3 linked regions of the Schizosaccharomyces pombe genome follow. The gene in region 2 interacts genetically with the main gene of each other region. Each region holds a gene or a part of one and is shown on either strand. Other genes may lie near its edges.

Region 1 (4,371 bases), 3.9 Mb from region 2:
AGCTCATCTAAATAGATTGCAACTAAATTGGGAGCACCGGTTCAGTCGTACTTAGTTAATAACTGATCTAGGAGGAGATATTCAATACTTCATCTACTTCCAAAAGCTTTATACATACTTTGAAGCTACCTACTAATAGAAACACTATTTAAATATTACCAAGTCTTATAGTAGTTAGGCCCTTTGAAGTACGTTGATGTGTTTTAGTAGGTGAGATTTATCAAGTTTTAATTTGATTGCTATTTATATACACAAAGTAGCTATTGATTTTCCGTTTTCTTAGTTTCTTACATAAAATAGTATTAGTTTGTATAATTACAACAACAAATAATAAAATATTAGGTGATCCAAAGTAGACTTTGATGAAGCGTAAGGTGTTTCGTAAGATTGGTATTGTTTGAAGCGAACGAATATTGGTAAGTTTTAGCCATCAAAATAAATTACAAATTAAATAACGATTTGTACTTTTCTCAGTATCTTGATCAGTTTTAGAAATTATACAATATTTTTAGAGTAGTAAGAAAATAAATGAATTATAGAAGCCGAAAATTACTCTATTGTAGATAATATATATGTACAACAAAAATATACACTCCATCCCTGTTGGTGGTTAGCCTTGTGATTCTGAGAATCACTTATCTTATAGTATATATCAACTATAGAAGGAATTTCAAAATATGAGTGCAGTAATCTTTTTGACCAGAGACAGCGATTCACAATACATTTGAAAATAATTTGGAAATCCGAATTGACATTAAAAGAGCTTTCCTAAACGTAATCTTCCTGTGACTTATCAACCCCTATTACTTGTAACTCCAAATCGGAATCGGACTTGGTGACTTTTCGATTTAAATACAGACTTTTTAACTTTCCCCAAATCACTAATACATGGATACTGAAACCATGAACAATGATTGAGGATAAGATAACAAACGAAATGATCGGCCAAATTATTTCATTAAGTGTTGAAAATACTGTAGTTGATTCATAAATACTCTTTTCAATTTCATCCGGGGACAACAGTAATTTTGCAAGAAATGCCATATAAACTGCGCAAACCCCTATTGGTCCGAAATGTCCAACGAAAAGGGCTTCTTTCCATGTCTTAATGTCCGGAACTAAAGGCTTCACCGAAAATACAACCGGTAATCGACGACAAACTAGAGTCAATATGCTAAAGACAATTAAACGCCAAACAGGCAAGCCTTCAACAGACCAATTAAAATTATTCCAGGGAATGATTGTACCATAATAGGTAAAAAATAGTAAACTAAAAGTCTGATCAATAAAAGCAGGTACAGAACAAGCAGATATATTTTTGGAAAATAAATCATTCCAGTTAAATAATATTCCAGCAAAAAAGGACATCAACAGGTCATCAACTCCAATAATAGTTCCTATCCCAGAACATAATAAAGGTATCGCTAGCGGAAGGGAATAATAACTAATAGCATCAATTAAACGGTATTTCTGAGCGTGCTTTAAAATGAACGATAAAAGATACCCTATTACACACCCAAAAAATATACCAAATGCACATTCATACAACACAACAAGCAGCACCCAATCCCTCCCTGCATTCCTCGATGGCTTAACAGTAAGAAGTTTGATAGCAAAATAGAAAAAAGGAACCGCCATTCCATCATTACATCCAGACTCAGCGATCAATAAAGACCGAATCCGTTCAGGAGTCTTTTTAGCTAATGGACCTTCTCCTACAATCAATGCTGATAGAACAGGATCAGTAGAAGTTATACATCCTGCGATCAGCAAAGATCCTAAAAAGTTAATTTGTGGAAACAATGCATATGCAAATCCAGCTGTAACTAACCACCCGTAAGCCATAACTGGTAATAGCATTACAATGATGCTTCGAAAATTATGTTGAAAATATGCACCGGGGAGTTCTATTGCAGAAGCAAACACACGCACATCAAGTACGATTCTACAAATCTCTACTGTCAAGTAATCTCCATGGTCACCCCAGGAAAAAGGGTCTACGAGTTTAGCAGCATGAGGCCCAAATATTAATCCAGTGATACTTCCAAGAACTACACACTAGTATTAGTCTTATTTTATATCAATTGCTAATTTTCAAAAACCACCCTATACAATATCTTCAACGTACCAGCTTCTCCAACTAGTAATTTTTTTCGAAAAACTTCTGAAAAATAGCAGAAAAATGTTATAAATCCCCCGGCCACTATTAAAGCTAAATGGACTTTGTCTATATCAAGTTGTCTCCAGCCCATAGTAATTAGGCAATATCCACAAGAGAATGTTTTCTTGTAATAAATTCCTATAATATTTTTTTTAGAGTATTCGACATAAAATGTGGCAAAAGATACAGTTAGCCACGGACTGATGCGTGCATGCCTGTGGTTTATACTTGAGGACCGGGGTACCTTAGTTATCTTTTTGATTGGAGTAACAAAGCTTGTTACTTGGGTTTTAACGCTTATCAACTTAAAAAACATGCCTTTTAAGTAACTATTCAATTTTAAATTCACTGAGACTGATTAAGCACATTTGAGGTGGGCTGTTATATTATTTTTTTTTATACAATTTTAGCAGGATAGTGAATTGTAAATATTGTGCGATTGTTATACATCGTATGTTTATATAAATTTAGCACCATTAAATTGATTGAAAGGGTGTTGTGTACTCACTTGTAAGCTATTAATACCTCGGCAGCAAAAAGCTTTGATTATAACTTAGCTAAAAAGACCTGATTGGATTAAGGCATTTTATCTCAATATGACATAAGTGGCAATAAATCAAAAATATTGAAAATTCTTTCTATAGGATTTGATTACTAGTGTAACAGAAGTCAATCTTTTATACTACTTAAAAAAGGAAGTAGTGAGCATAAAACAAGCACTCTTGTAATTCAACCATATGTAGAGTTAAATTAGCAATGAAAAACTGTATGGGATTAACGAGAACGACGAAATTACACAAATATCCAGTTGACACGTTCTGTCAAAGGAATTGCCAGGCCTATAATCACATTGGTGGGGGAAACTTGTTAATTGATGAGATAACGGCCAAGGTATTGACTACCGAACACAGAAGGAATTTGGTATTTCGATTACGGGCAGGAGAAAAGTCATGAGCGAATGTTTGAACTTGTTCTTTTTCAGTGGACAATTTCTCCTCATGAACAACTTAGGAAGAATTCAAGAGCTCCTTTCATGTCAAATAAAACGAGAAACACTTTACGTTTAAATGAATCATTTGCTTTCATGCACAATGTGGTGGCAAGGTTAGTTACATAGACACAACCGAGTCTCACCCCATGAGTTGCAGATCCAGAATATAGAGCGTTTAAGGCCACTCGCTTACTTAATATCAAATTTCATACTATTTAGACTTTTATAAAAGACGATTTTCATTACTTCTAGCCTTTAAACAATAAACCGTTGTTATATATGAATATATATTATTTTCGCTGTAAAGCAAGCCTAATTTTTTACTTAGCTTGAACAAACGAGACTATAATTTGATGAGGTCAGCCCTAATCGTACCCAACAGATTGGTCACTGAATTTTTCGTATATTGTAATATCTGCCATTGAGCTAATTAATTTAAGAGGATAACAACCGAGACTTTATACAATTCTTTTTATTTTTTTATAGTAATAAAGAAATGTCATTTTTAAATATTTCTTTAAAAGCGCTGTTGATTGCATGTCATCTAGTACACTAGCTAGTTAACCCACTGTACCTAATGATACAGGATTGTAAACCTTATCAATTGGTCCAAAGACATAAGAATTTCGATAGTGAAGAGGGCCTGATATGTTTAATGAAACATGTCTTTCACCTAAAGTACGAGCTTAGCATCGTGGCTATAATATTTCTGAATGCACATTCATCATTTGGTAACGTAGCCTGATGGTACAGTACTAGAGTATCCAACGTACAAAGATTTATTTGGTACTATTACTGAACGTTTGTACTGCATTTCAGCATTCAAAAAGTAGGAGCTTCGATAAGCAACGCTGTTTGAATACAAGACTTATCTTGGCGGTGAAAAAAAGCTGTAAATGGCATTGCTAAAAATATGATATTAAAAAAAAAGCGAGTAGATAAAATGACCGATAAAATAGATATAAATAAATAGGAAAATACGAATTCTACTCTACAATTTTACTCTTATTGTGTAACAAATCACGCTGAAGTATCGCGGATGAGTAACTTGGCCAACTGACGCATGTATAGACAACTAAAGTTTATCTGCATATGTCAAAATGTTACTTGAAAATAAAAAAGGTCATAAACGAGCAGCGAAATTAAATCTGCACTTGCGAAACCGCGCACTATTATACTATTTATCTCCAACAAAAATAATTATTATACTGCTTAATAA
Region 2 (5,494 bases):
GGTAGCAATTTACGAACCTTATTCTGTTACCTTATCCAATGACATTTTAACCTCTTTAAAAGAATACTTTTTGTAGTTGTATCACGATATTTCACCTTCTACTCTAATATCAAGGTTTATACTGTTTTTTAACTCGCTATAAGAATTTATACTATTTACTATAGGTTCACACATCCAAAAAATAAATATTTGCACGAGATTTCATAGTTATCGAATTCGATATTACTGAATTTTGACCAATGTATAAGCATTCAACTTATTACTAACAAATGATAAATGTTTACGATAATAAACACAACTTCACTGTCATAGCTCTGCGGTCTGATTACACATGTATTGAAGCGGCTATTGTTTTCTTAATAAGCCCTTTTCATTCAATAAAGCCTATAGTTGTGGGTAAACTTTTCATGTCATCTATTTACTACGGTGACCAGGTAACTACCACATAAGCAACGACCTGGACAGGATACAAAAACCTTACCAACTAACTACCTATTTACTCACAGTTTCAAATAAAATGTTGAAAAAGGGCGGTAATTTCATAAATATAAAATCACTTATGCAGTACGTAACTTAATAATAGTAAATTAACTTATATGTTTTGTGCGAAGAGCATTAAGAGGAAATGTGTTTGCAAACAAGTATAAAAAGAAGAAGGAAAATGGTAGTAGAGAACACAAAGGTAGAACATGATGATCCAAGTATTTTCACTCAAATGAGAAAAAAAAAATAATTTCGGAAACTTTACACAGAAATTCTTTTTCACTGTTAAACACCAATAGTTCAAATATCAAAAGTAATCAATAGCTAGCTATCCATTTTACTCCTGACCAAAACCAATCGTCTCTTCAACAGCTATGGACAATTTATGATCCAAATCTTTTTTCGAAGTATAAGGAGGAAGATCAAGTCGATTGAAACAGGTGTGGGCCTTGGGAAGTTTATTGGGTTCACCAGCTTTTTCAATAGTAAACTTACGGGGGCCATCACTTCCTTGCAAATCTTTGAACCCGTTGACAGGAATTCGGCTAGTACCAGTGGTAAATTGTAAAAGTCTGGATTTCTTTTCATTACTCCATTCATCCATAAGTTCCCAAAACCATTTAATAATCTGGTCATTTTCACTGTATGAACGATAATCCGTATGCTTCTTCCAATCCTCCATGTCAATTTCGGAAATGCCTCCAATCAACAACTCCAATTCTCTCTCGTCAAACACGTTAATCAGTTCCTGTGGTATGAGCTCACTAAAACCTTCATGAAATGCATTAAACTGCTCTTCTATACGTTTTTGAATGCGCCATACAGTCACCAAATCAACATATTCGCGTTTATTCTCTTCTGTAACTTCAATGTTTCGACCATTCGGCTTCAAATCAATCGTAACAACCTCGCCAAAACAATTGTCTTCGACACTAAAGGTCAAATCAAGAACACCGGTTATATCGTTGTCCAAAATCCAGACTAAACTTCGATAATACTCTGCATCCATACTTTCCATATCCTGTAACGTCACCTTCTTTTGTAAAATCATTTTGTAAAAAGAAACAACGAAAAAGGCATCAACAAACCGACGATGGAAAATTGCGAGACCAATGACTCGGCCTATGAACTTGAAATAGTTCAAATGCTCTGGATTAATGCCAGAATGAGGATTAATTTGAAGCGTATAATTATCAACCGAAGAGTATTCAAATAAACAATAAAAGGGGTTGAACATTTCATGTGATAACAAAAAGAAGTATTCACGGGATAATCCACCGTAATCCAAACCATCTTCACCATCAAACTTAATCATCAAACGTTTTTTCAAATCGGTTGCAGATTGTCTCATAATTTCCGCATACGAATCTTCAAAGATATGATTTCTACGCACTTTAATGTGGCACTGCCCTGGCAAAGGATGCAAAGCTGGTTGCGAAAGGAAATAAATCAACTTTCTACGGAAATCACGTTTGTATTGAGGAACGTTTTGATCTAACGACGAAGGTAAACGAGGATCATCCCAAGTGGTAGTCTTGGTATTGTGATCAACAAAATATACACGAGCAGTATTGGTAAGACGCATTTCCCAACCACTTGGCAAAGGACCAAGTTGAGAGACAGGTTGTTGCTGAATAGTAGCATTATTAGGACCGCCATAGGAACGAATGTACTGTTGACGGCGCGGATCCACCCAAGTAGTAGTTCGCGTATTATGATCCACAAAGTAGGGTCGACCCTCTGGTGTATACCTTTGCTCCCATCCCGGTGGAAGCTCTCCTGAACCAGCAGTAGTAGCGTTAGAGGTCAAAACACTAGCTTCTGTACGACGAGCTGCATTGCTAGAGGAAGGTTGAACACCTTCGGTAACATTCGCAGACGATGCACTACTATGCAATTCGGCTGCGGCTGCTCCGGCAACAGAACTTAGGTTGGGGCGAATCCACGTTGTGCTTCTTGTATTATGATCTACATAATAAGTTCGGCCAAGATTATCGGTACGTCTTTCCCATCCAGGAGGAAGGCGCCCATATTGATCTTCAAATGAACTAAATGTGCGAGGTTCTGAACTAGCAGGGGAAGCAGCAGGTGCGTTGTCGCGGGTAGGTGAACCAGCACGAGAGGAAGCAGGGTTACGAGACACACTGCTACTTTGTGAGCTTTGCGGGTCATTGGTAATGCTAGTACGTTGGGTACGTGCACCTGATGCTGCACTGGATGGAACCTGTAAGGTTGACTGCGCAGTCGTTGATAAGTTTATGATTATCTTGCCATGAACTACTGTATTCTCATTTGACTTTTTCAAATCGCGGGTCAACATTTCATCACCTCCAATGGCGAGATCGAGCACATCTCCAACACGAAGATTTATCACTCCTAGAAAGCCTTGGCCTTTTTTCTTAAATTTTTTCTGATCGAACACCTGAATCGCAATGGTGCTATTATCTGTAACATTACTAAAGAATTGTTAGAAACATTGTTTTTAATCAAAAAGTTAACATTAGCTAAATTATAAGGGATAAACTGGAAGAAACCCCAACTAAAATTGATATACATAAAAGTTACTTGGAAAGGTCAAAACCTGGGATATACACTTACACTTCAAAAGTCTCATTCCAATAAGGGTTTAACGTCTTTTTGATAGCAGTTGTGGTATGTGTTTGCTCACCATCCACTGTTAGTACCGCAAACGGGTCAGGAAAACGAAACACATCTCGTTTGTAAAGGCCATCAGCAGCAACAACTATTTTGGGTCAGCGTTTGCACAGGGCATTTGAATAATGTCATCACATACTTGTTACTCGAATTCGACGAGATCTAATCATAAAAGTTAGCAAATGTGTTTATAGCAGTTAAAGAACTACTTACTGAGCTGAGTTTGACATAGGGGGAAAAGATGGTAAAATTTCAAACCAGCGTTGCTTTTGGATAATAAAAAAAAGCCAATTTCCCAAAGAAAGTCAAGTATTTGTGCTTGCAAAAAAAACTTTCAATTAAGGCCGTTTTATCCTTTCTATTTGATACAAAAACGCTTTTTTCGGGAACGAAATAAATAAAAAAGAACTACAAAAGGAATCCTTAATCAAATTCGTGCTTTCAGCGCACAATTTTGAAATCCGTCGGATTTCGCGTGGTGTTGGCTGAAAGGAGAATTAATCGGTCTTGCAGATTAGATCCTTAACGCATTATAACCCATTTCCTTATATATATACAACGCGATTACCAAATTGTTCTTTATCTTTTTTGGCGTACAGAAAATACGTTTTACGTGTTAACTACGAAAGTAAATATCATGCAGCACAATGTATGATTTGCAAGCTATAAGCATTTAATAAATTGATTTAATACGAAAGAATGAGGAAAATGTATATCTAACCACTTTGCGTTCAAGTGATAGTTAGAACTGAGAAGAAAGAGAGGAAACGAAGAATTGTAAAAGGTACATACAAGAAGGCAAACGGAGTGCCGCGAATAAAAGTAATAAAGCCAGAACTTAGCAACAACTCTTAAACAGACAATGCTCAAAATTTTTATTTTTTAATTATCAGTAGTCGAGCATGCTGGCCAAAACAAAGTTAAGTAAACATCCAGCCACACGAGAGAAAGTAGAGCTAGATGGTCCTCAACATGACGAAAGAGTAAGAGCGATAAGTGCAGCGAAGGGAACGTGACGCTCCATTACATATACGAGACGGTGAAAAAGGAACGGAAGGAAAAGAAAAGGAAAAAGTACAGTATGTACATTTATTTCAAAGAAATGAGATAACGAGATTGGTTAGGCGACTGAAAGTAAAATTGAAATGGCTGGTCATAAAGACTATTTGCTATCCACTTTCAATAACAAGAAACCATGGGATGGAAAACAGGTAGCTGTTAAAAGTTTCATTTCGTTTTACACTATTCAGGAAAATTGGCTTTCCGTCGCATTTGACAAGAATTCGCCATTCTGTAAAGAAATGTACAAATGAAAAAACAAAGCGAAACGGCGAATGAAACAGAAATGATTGATAAGTAATGAAATGCAAATGAGAAAAGGATAAGAATAAACAAACCAAAGAGACTTTTTTAAGGGTTGTATCTCACTACAGTGAAACAATTGAAAGAAAAATTCAAAAGTCAGTCAAAAGATGAAGTCGATTTAAAAGCAATAAGTTAAGGAACCAGATGACATATTTAAGACTTTGAATGAAATGCAAGCAACGAAATTTTCTTAAAAAAAGAGGGCCATGAGAAAAAGCAAATAGTTAAGTTTAAAAAGAAAGTTTGAAAGAAGGATAAATAGTTTGCTAAATAACTCCTTTTTTAAAGAAAGTAAACCGACGGACCAATTGATTGTATGAGATGGTATAAGCGAAACCCATAATAATAACAAAGCTTTGCAATGAGAATGTGAATTTCTAATACCATAAAACTGTTCAAGCAAAAAGGAAATGAGTGAGTAACGGTAAAACAAAGAGATAGCAATAAGATTGAAAAGATCGATTACTTAAGATTTTCGTAAAAAACAAAGGTAAAAGCCGAATAAAGAAAAAGTTGTTATACGAAAAAGTGATGAGCAAGCTTTTCTTCGCAAGACTTTCTACCATCAATTGAAGGCAAGCGTAACTAACGCATTTATTTTAAGCGACGGATATATCCAGAAATTGTAAACAAATAATTTTTGCTTAAATCTATCGCAACAAGTGTTTAAGCGCATACTTTAAAACAGGTTCAACCTGCGAGCTTCCGATGACGACCGAGGAATAGAAACGTTGCTACTTGATGGGTTGTCAGCAAAAGGTGAATAATTGGGCTGGTTAGAAGCACCAGTGCTTGTTGGGGAAAGAAGATTGCTTTGAGATCGACTAGACAGAGCTGCCCTCGAGCCGTAAGAGGATTCTCCAGCTAAATCACTAGCCATGCTTTCACTGTCACTTTCAGGAATCGTAGCTAAAGGACCTTCTGGATAGGAATCTGAACCAGAACCACTGTGTTCTGCAGCTTCGGCCGCAGCTCCAGCGGCACCAACAGC
Region 3 (6,789 bases), 3.3 Mb from region 2:
CATTTTATTCACGACATCGACACGACCGACAAAAAATAATGCAATTGTCTAACAGCTTACAGAATGAACTTAAAGAACACATTAATTCACTTGAGAGTGTAAGAAAAGTTTTGCAAGGTGACTGCGTGAAATGGTTTATTCCAAATGGTGTTTTTCCTAATGGTACAAGACTTGAGCATGCTAGATTCAACTGTGCTCGGTATTTGTGGACACTCTGCATTGCTCCCCGTTTAAAAATGAGCCCACATGATGCTTTGTACTGCGCAAAGTTTGTAAAGCTTTTGCACAGTCTTGGAACACCAAACTTTTCAACTATGTCATTTTTAGAAATTTTGTTTAATTCACAATTGCCTTCATTTATTTTTTCAATGACACAACGAGAGGCTGATAATTTTGGAAGATTTTTATACGAAGTACTCTATGATATTACTAGCTGGTACAGGGACAAAATTCTTTACGAACGCGAATGTTTGGCAAATGGTGCTTTGCCTGGGTTCAGGTTATATTGGTCTGACGAACAAAATGATCCCGATCTTTCCGCTGTCCTTCCTTATAACAAATTTGTTTTGCTATTTAGTAAATGGCACAAATATCTAACATCTTATTTTGAGTCATGCTTACTATCTACTGAATATATGCATATCTACAATAGTGTCATAATCTTGGAAAAAATTTTGCCATGTTTCCCATTGATAATTGAAAGTGGCAGTGCTTTGAAACGAGCCGCTGAACGATTAAAGGACGAAGAAAAACGAGAAGATTTAAAGGTTTTGGCTTTGGGGTATTTTGCAAAGCTCTCAAAAAAGCAACCAGAATGGGTTTCTTTTAATTCATTTTCTGGTACTGTAAGGCCGAGTAATTCAGAAAAGCTTCAGAGACCGCAACAACTTTCAGTGGCAGCTACATCAGCAGTTGATTCCAAAACTGCTTCCATATCGGAAGAACAGGCAAAGATTGATAAACAGAAAGTAGCTTTGAATCCTAGTGCACCAGAGTTTGTACCTGATAGTACGCCTTCCGACGCAGTTGCTTCTGAAACTGACAATAAAAATCTTGTTGAGAACAAGGCAGTAGAGAAAAGGGTTGAAGCTAGAAGCTCAGCTAATGAAAGAAAACAAGAAGAAAGACGTAGAAAAACAACTCCTGAAGGAAACAGACGTGCTTTACGAACACGCACCCCTACGAATGAGGATATACAAAGATCAGACAGTAAATTGCGAGAGGATCAGTCTAGAGACCGAACACCTCAATCAAGAAGTTTTACAAATGAAAACAACGATAATTTAAGGAGCGTGTCTCGTCATACTCGACGCGAGCCTCAGCAAGCACAAAACCTAAATGCTAGGCGTGAACATGAATCACAGAAATCTGACAGATGGCGCCAAAATGGAAACGTAAATCGCAACCCTCGAGTGTCTAATAACAATAGCACTAATGTTTCAAGAGAGCGCTCGTCTGAAGCTAATCATAGGACAAGCAACGATAATAAACGTGATGAGGTTACAGAAGGGAAAGATAAAAACAAAAGGCAAGATATTTCTGGCGAGAGTAATTCTCGGCAGAATAATGCTATTAGTCGGGCTGGAAGAAGTAATGGATCTAATAGGGGAAATGATTCCAGAGATGCAGATGGTCGTCGTAGCACTCATTATGCTTCAAATAAACGTCCCCGATCTTCGGATAGTCAAAGCCCGAGCAACCTACGAGAGGAAGATGAAAGAGAAAATTCTCGTCGTAGGGCCAGGCAAGACGACCGAAGGGATCGGGATTCACGACAGCAAAGAGATCGTCCACGGGATAGAACATCTCGATCTGCTCGAGAAGAGAAAAGAAGAAAAATTCAATGATCCACGTTTCAAGCTTTAACTAGATGTCAGCTTTTTTTTCTTATCTAACTAAATTTGTAATTACAAGGAAATAATGAAAAATCTTTATATAAGGAGATTCATACACAGAATTATGATGGTCGTGAAAAATCGTAATCTAATTATTTTATATGGAATGAGCAAGTATGTTTTATCATAATTGACCAGTTCATTTCAAGGACCTTCAAAAATATACCTACTTAGTATTGGCGAAACGTAGAACGACTTGTATCAGTAGACTGTCTACGTGGCGGGCCAACTTTAGGATGCAAAGAGTCATTACGAATTATGAACTTGCTTTGTTGCAAACCAGGGCTACTGTGTATTGAGCTTCCAGTATCAACAAGCGGTTTTTGAAAGTTTTTTAATTCTTCGACCTCAGCTTGTGATTCTAAAAACTTGCCCTCCAACTCACGGTACCGCGTTAATAGCTCATCGTAATTTTCTTTTATTTCGGATATTTTAGACAACTGAGCGTCGTAATTTAAGTTGACAGGATTATGCAACTCAGGTGCGTTCGCTTCAGATGAAAGTCGTTTTTCCAAATCAAAAATCTTAGCCTCGTAAACAACATTAATGGCTTCCAGGTCCTTTTTCAGTAGCTCAATATTAGCTTGAAGATGCAAGTTTTCTGATTCCAGTTTCATTCGATGTTTTTCTGACTCGATCAACTCTCTTTCTTGCTCATCACTAACAGCTTCACTGTTAGAGAGAATCATACTACTGTCCATCTTCGTATTTCCAAAAGAAGTATCAGAGCTCGAAGAGACTTGCTTTTTGGAGATATTAACGCAGCTCAAATGCTGTTCATATTCTTTCAACTTAGTTTCATAGAGTTGAAGCTTCAACTCCAGTTGATTTTTTGAAAACGCAATGTCAATTTGAGAATTTCGTATTGATTCCAATTGCGAGATTAATGATTCAATTGATGATTTGAGTTCTGATTCTTCACTTTTCCAAGCTTTCTTTTCTTCTCGTAACGCTTTTATTTTGTTGTTAAAATCATTTTCCCACTTAACCCTACGATTTAGAGCTGCCTGTGATTCTGAGCGATGTTTGTCAATTTCAGAATTCAGTAACTCTATCTGAGCTTTATATCTTTTGTTGGTTAAAAGCAATTTTTGCCTTTCTGATTCCACAGCCATATCTAGTATGTGCTCACGATGAAGCTTTCCAATATTTTGCAAGTGCTGCTGACGAACAAATTTTTCAAAACGGAGCTCATTCTGAAGAAATAGCAGATCCCTTTGTAAGCGTCGAATTGTATCGTTCGTGCTGCTCAAACTTTCACTAGTCAGTTCCAAATTATTTGAGCCGCGTTCACCTTTAACCATGTGAATTGAGGAAACACCTTCACTATATGATGTACCATGCGAAATATTATCATAAGAATCTTCAGTATTTGATAATTGGGCTTTGTCAAATGTAGTCGCGGAATGAACAGAACCCGATATTGATGGATTTTGAGGCCAAGATATGGAAAAAGGCTCAGAAGCAATATCATGGCTTTCATTTGGATAGGCCAATAATCCAGTAGCTGAACTTGTCTCTTCATAAGTGGTGGGAAGCTTACCACCAAAAGGATCCATAACACTTTCGGCTATTCCAACAGCGTTAAGACTATTACATAGGGCCACTACAGCAATAGAATCAAGTCTTGTCCAACGGGATTTATCGGTAAGTTCTGTTTCTGCTGTATATTTAAGAAAATTAGAATGTGCCAAATGTCTACCGAGAAGACCATCCGACTTTGTGGAGAGGAGTTCTTGATTAAAGGAATAACGTATTTGGAAATTATGTTTAGAAGCATACAACTTAGGATCCCGAAGAAACTCTAAAAAGTTTATAGGGTACAGAGCGTACAAAATTGAGAAAAGTTGAGAGTAGTCAAGACTTTCGAGATAATCTGGTTGAGAAGAACCAACAATATCATGAACATCATTGTAAGAGCTATCTGTTTGAGAGGTGGTAGTTGAGGCATACGTTGACATAAAATCGTGAAACACCTCCCAATTACCAGACGCAGTAGACGATGGGAAGCCAGAGGTCGGGTCAATCATTGAAAATCGAAGATAGATACAGAACAATCTATATAAGGAATCGTCTAAGGAGTTACAAATGTGAGACAGTATCATAAGGATGAAAGATAATGCATACGACAGTAAGATTGGTGAAGTATCAAATTCCGCACATTTTAAAACAAGGTCATAGAAGCCAGTCTGTGGTATTTCATATAAACGAGGACCTTGCCGCCGTATTACTTCAACCATAACTGATAAAATAGGGATTCGGGTTGGAGGATTTAAAAAATGATGACAAAAACAAGAAGAAAGTTCCTTTGGTCTCTGTATCCCATAATGGACGAGAACATTAACCAAGCATTCAATAGTTTGATTCCTTTGCTCTTGAGATTCCACGTCACCTAGATTTTCGATAGCTTTAGAAACGTAAAGGTCAACCAAACGAGTGATAGTTTCCTCAGCGCACTCCCGTCTCAAGTCTCCACCCCATTCATCCTCGTCGTGAAAAATTAAAATGTAAAATAAAATACTTTTCAAGTCACTAAATACCGGTTTCAATTGGGTAGGAGAATTCAAGAAAGGAAAAAAGATCTGGTCCCACCATTCACCAACTGCTTGGCGATCCAAAATCAACAACGGTATAACCGTTTTCAACACAGCTAGCCATAGTATCCGTCGCCTTGTATTATTGAACGGCGTCTTTTCGTAGATCTCGTCCAAGATGTGTCTTATTTTTTGTGAGTTAGTGGGGTTTTGTTTGGGATAACGCTGCTGATACGACTCAACTTCCGCAATTAACTCAGTCAAATCGGGATAGCCTTCCGATTCTTCTTCATGAAGGACGTTCCATAATGCTTTGACTAGCGATTGCAGCGGCATTCGTACAAAGTTGGCAAAGTCAACGTTGATATACAACTATGCGACATTATACTGATAGCAAGTCTTGGCAGCATTGATAAACGTAACGAGGATAGCGTAGTCTGCCACATTTTTTTAATTAGTCTTTGCATTTTCAACCAAATTATACAGCGCTATCCAAAAATCCTTTAACTAGATTACATGTCAACCATACAGGTCGTAATTCGTTTTTAAGATACGATAGTACTGCAATGATATTTTTTAGTGTAATGTACATAGTATAATAAATTTATTGTAAATAGTTATAAATATCCTAAAATACTCGTTAAGAATACCAAGAAGTATTTATAATTACACTTATATAGCTAAAAATTGAATTGAGGAACGTTGTTTTAAACAAGCTTTATTTGAAGGAATCATAAGTAGTAAAGTAAGTTGTAATTTTTATCCAAATTATGTAAACATCATCTATACCATGGTACTTGATCCATCTCCAAAATTTAAAGAATGTATTAAGTATTGATTTCTAGGACTATACAGTATAGTAGGCAGTGTTCGCATTTTCAGCACAGAGGAAATACGAAAGCAAACAATGCGAAAACACATTGAGAGTTCTCTGAATAAACATGTAAAAATAAAAAGAAAACGGTTTTACTATTAAGGATTCCTAGGGAACTTTTCTTTCAAAGGAAGTTAGAGGGCAAATAATTTGAGTCGGTCTAATATTATGGTAACATATTCAAGCACTTTTAACGACATACTCTTAACTGCTATGTTATTCCACAGTGTGTTACAGTCACTTAGAGAGAAAATATTTCATTAATAAAAAAAAACTTTTATAGGGCAGGTGTAAGAAGCGTTGCAAGGCGCAAAGTAGAAAAGAATATAGTCATGGAAAAGGGAAAGCCGGTGCTTGTAAATAATTACAAACACCAATATTTTTTAATTTATATCTTAAAGTCTTCCAAGTTGGCGATGTAAAGTTTCATAACAAAAGCCATTTCATTTTCATTGCATATTTTGGGGTCATTTCAGTACCCAATGGAACTAACAGGAGAGATGCAGTGAACAACTAAGAAGTATCAAAATATCTGTAACTGTTTATAATCCTTTTTTGCTTACTTCTTTTACTTTTTGTTTTTCCCCAGTCTCCAGGAGTGCTGGGTAAGCTTTATTTACCAACCATCTGTGAATTATCCAGCCATAGCATATCTCCTTCTACTAGTTTATATAATATTTCCTTTCAAAAAATAGGCAAGCGACTGCATATCCTTGTTTAAATGTCTTATTTTGATTCTTTTTTTATTATTATTCAATCGGTGTTATCACATGAAATTTACCGATTCATTAAAACCCCTTTCGGAATAAGTTGACGAAAGGTGGAAATTGCTACCTGTTTTCTTTGTTCTGCTTTCTCACTGTTAATTTGTTGGGGTAAACAAATCAATTGCACAATGTTCTTTGTTCCGTTAAAGTTCCCATTGTTCGCCATTTAATGATTTCTTTGTTTAAAAGAAAGCGTATAGCAATGGTTAGATGGGAAACTTCGAAGTATAAATACTAAGGCATTTCCCGAATTTTCATCAGTGTGCCTATATCGACGTTTACAAAATTGCTCCAATCCTTCATTCGATTTTAAATTTAATAGGGATCAGACCTATTGAAAACAGCTGGAGACCTGATTTAGTATCGAATTACCCGTAATTGATTATAAAAATTGACGGTAATCAAGAAAGTGGGACTATTACTATATATTTAAATTTCTTTTATCTTATTTGAGTTCTGTACTTCTCTTTTATCTTTTAAAAAAATAAAAGAAACAATATTTAACACTCCATTGTGCTTGGCTGCCCGATCTCTGTCGCTTTTTCGCTTAGCAAGATCACAATTCTTTTGTTCATCACTTTATTATTTATGATAAAAGGCTACAAATTCGTAAAAGTAAGAATCAGCTTTGGATGCCCGCCCTTCATAACCCTTCTTCACCACCGCCCAGTTATGAAGCTGTTACGTCTTATCGCAACGGAAATTCAATAGATTCCGGC

The links.
Region 1: of pub1 (region 2) and nhe1, a mutation in one rescues a mutant of the other (synthetic rescue), as found in Schizosaccharomyces pombe (one study listed by BioGRID).
Region 3: of pub1 (region 2) and tsc1, changing one suppresses a phenotype caused by changing the other (phenotypic suppression), as found in Schizosaccharomyces pombe (one study listed by BioGRID).

Annotation. Positions count from the first base shown.
Region 1 is NC_003424.3:49,998-54,368, reverse strand, and holds nhe1 (plasma membrane/prospore membrane sodium ion/proton antiporter Nhe1/Sod2), read right to left. Parts: upstream 2,381-4,371; 5' UTR 2,253-2,380; coding exon 2,129-2,252; exon of another isoform or gene 2,052-2,128; coding exon 769-2,051; 3' UTR 511-768; downstream 1-510. UniProt on the Schizosaccharomyces pombe protein: Sodium export from cell, takes up external protons in exchange for internal sodium ions. Involved in regulation of pH.
Region 2 is NC_003424.3:3,961,197-3,966,690, reverse strand, and holds pub1 (HECT-type ubiquitin-protein ligase E3 Pub1), read right to left. Parts: upstream 3,626-5,494; 5' UTR 3,369-3,625; coding exon 3,352-3,368; intron 3,301-3,351; coding exon 3,278-3,300; intron 3,227-3,277; coding exon 3,082-3,226; intron 2,940-3,081; coding exon 821-2,939; 3' UTR 519-820; downstream 1-518. Other genes in the region: protein Mtl2, read right to left, coding at 5,183-5,494. UniProt on the Schizosaccharomyces pombe protein: E3 ubiquitin-protein ligase which accepts ubiquitin from an E2 ubiquitin-conjugating enzyme in the form of a thioester and then directly transfers the ubiquitin to targeted substrates. Regulates ubiquitination of cdc25.
Region 3 is NC_003424.3:673,474-680,262, forward strand, and holds tsc1 (Rheb GAP, hamartin Tsc1), read right to left. Parts: upstream 4,787-6,789; 5' UTR 4,766-4,786; coding exon 2,066-4,765; 3' UTR 1,848-2,065; downstream 1-1,847. Other genes in the region: THO complex subunit Tho2, read left to right, coding at 1-1,847; G-protein-signaling regulator Rgs1, read left to right, coding at 6,703-6,789. UniProt on the Schizosaccharomyces pombe protein: Together with tsc2, required for uptake of various amino acids from the environment and for proper conjugation. Involved in induction of gene expression of permeases and genes required for meiosis upon nitrogen starvation.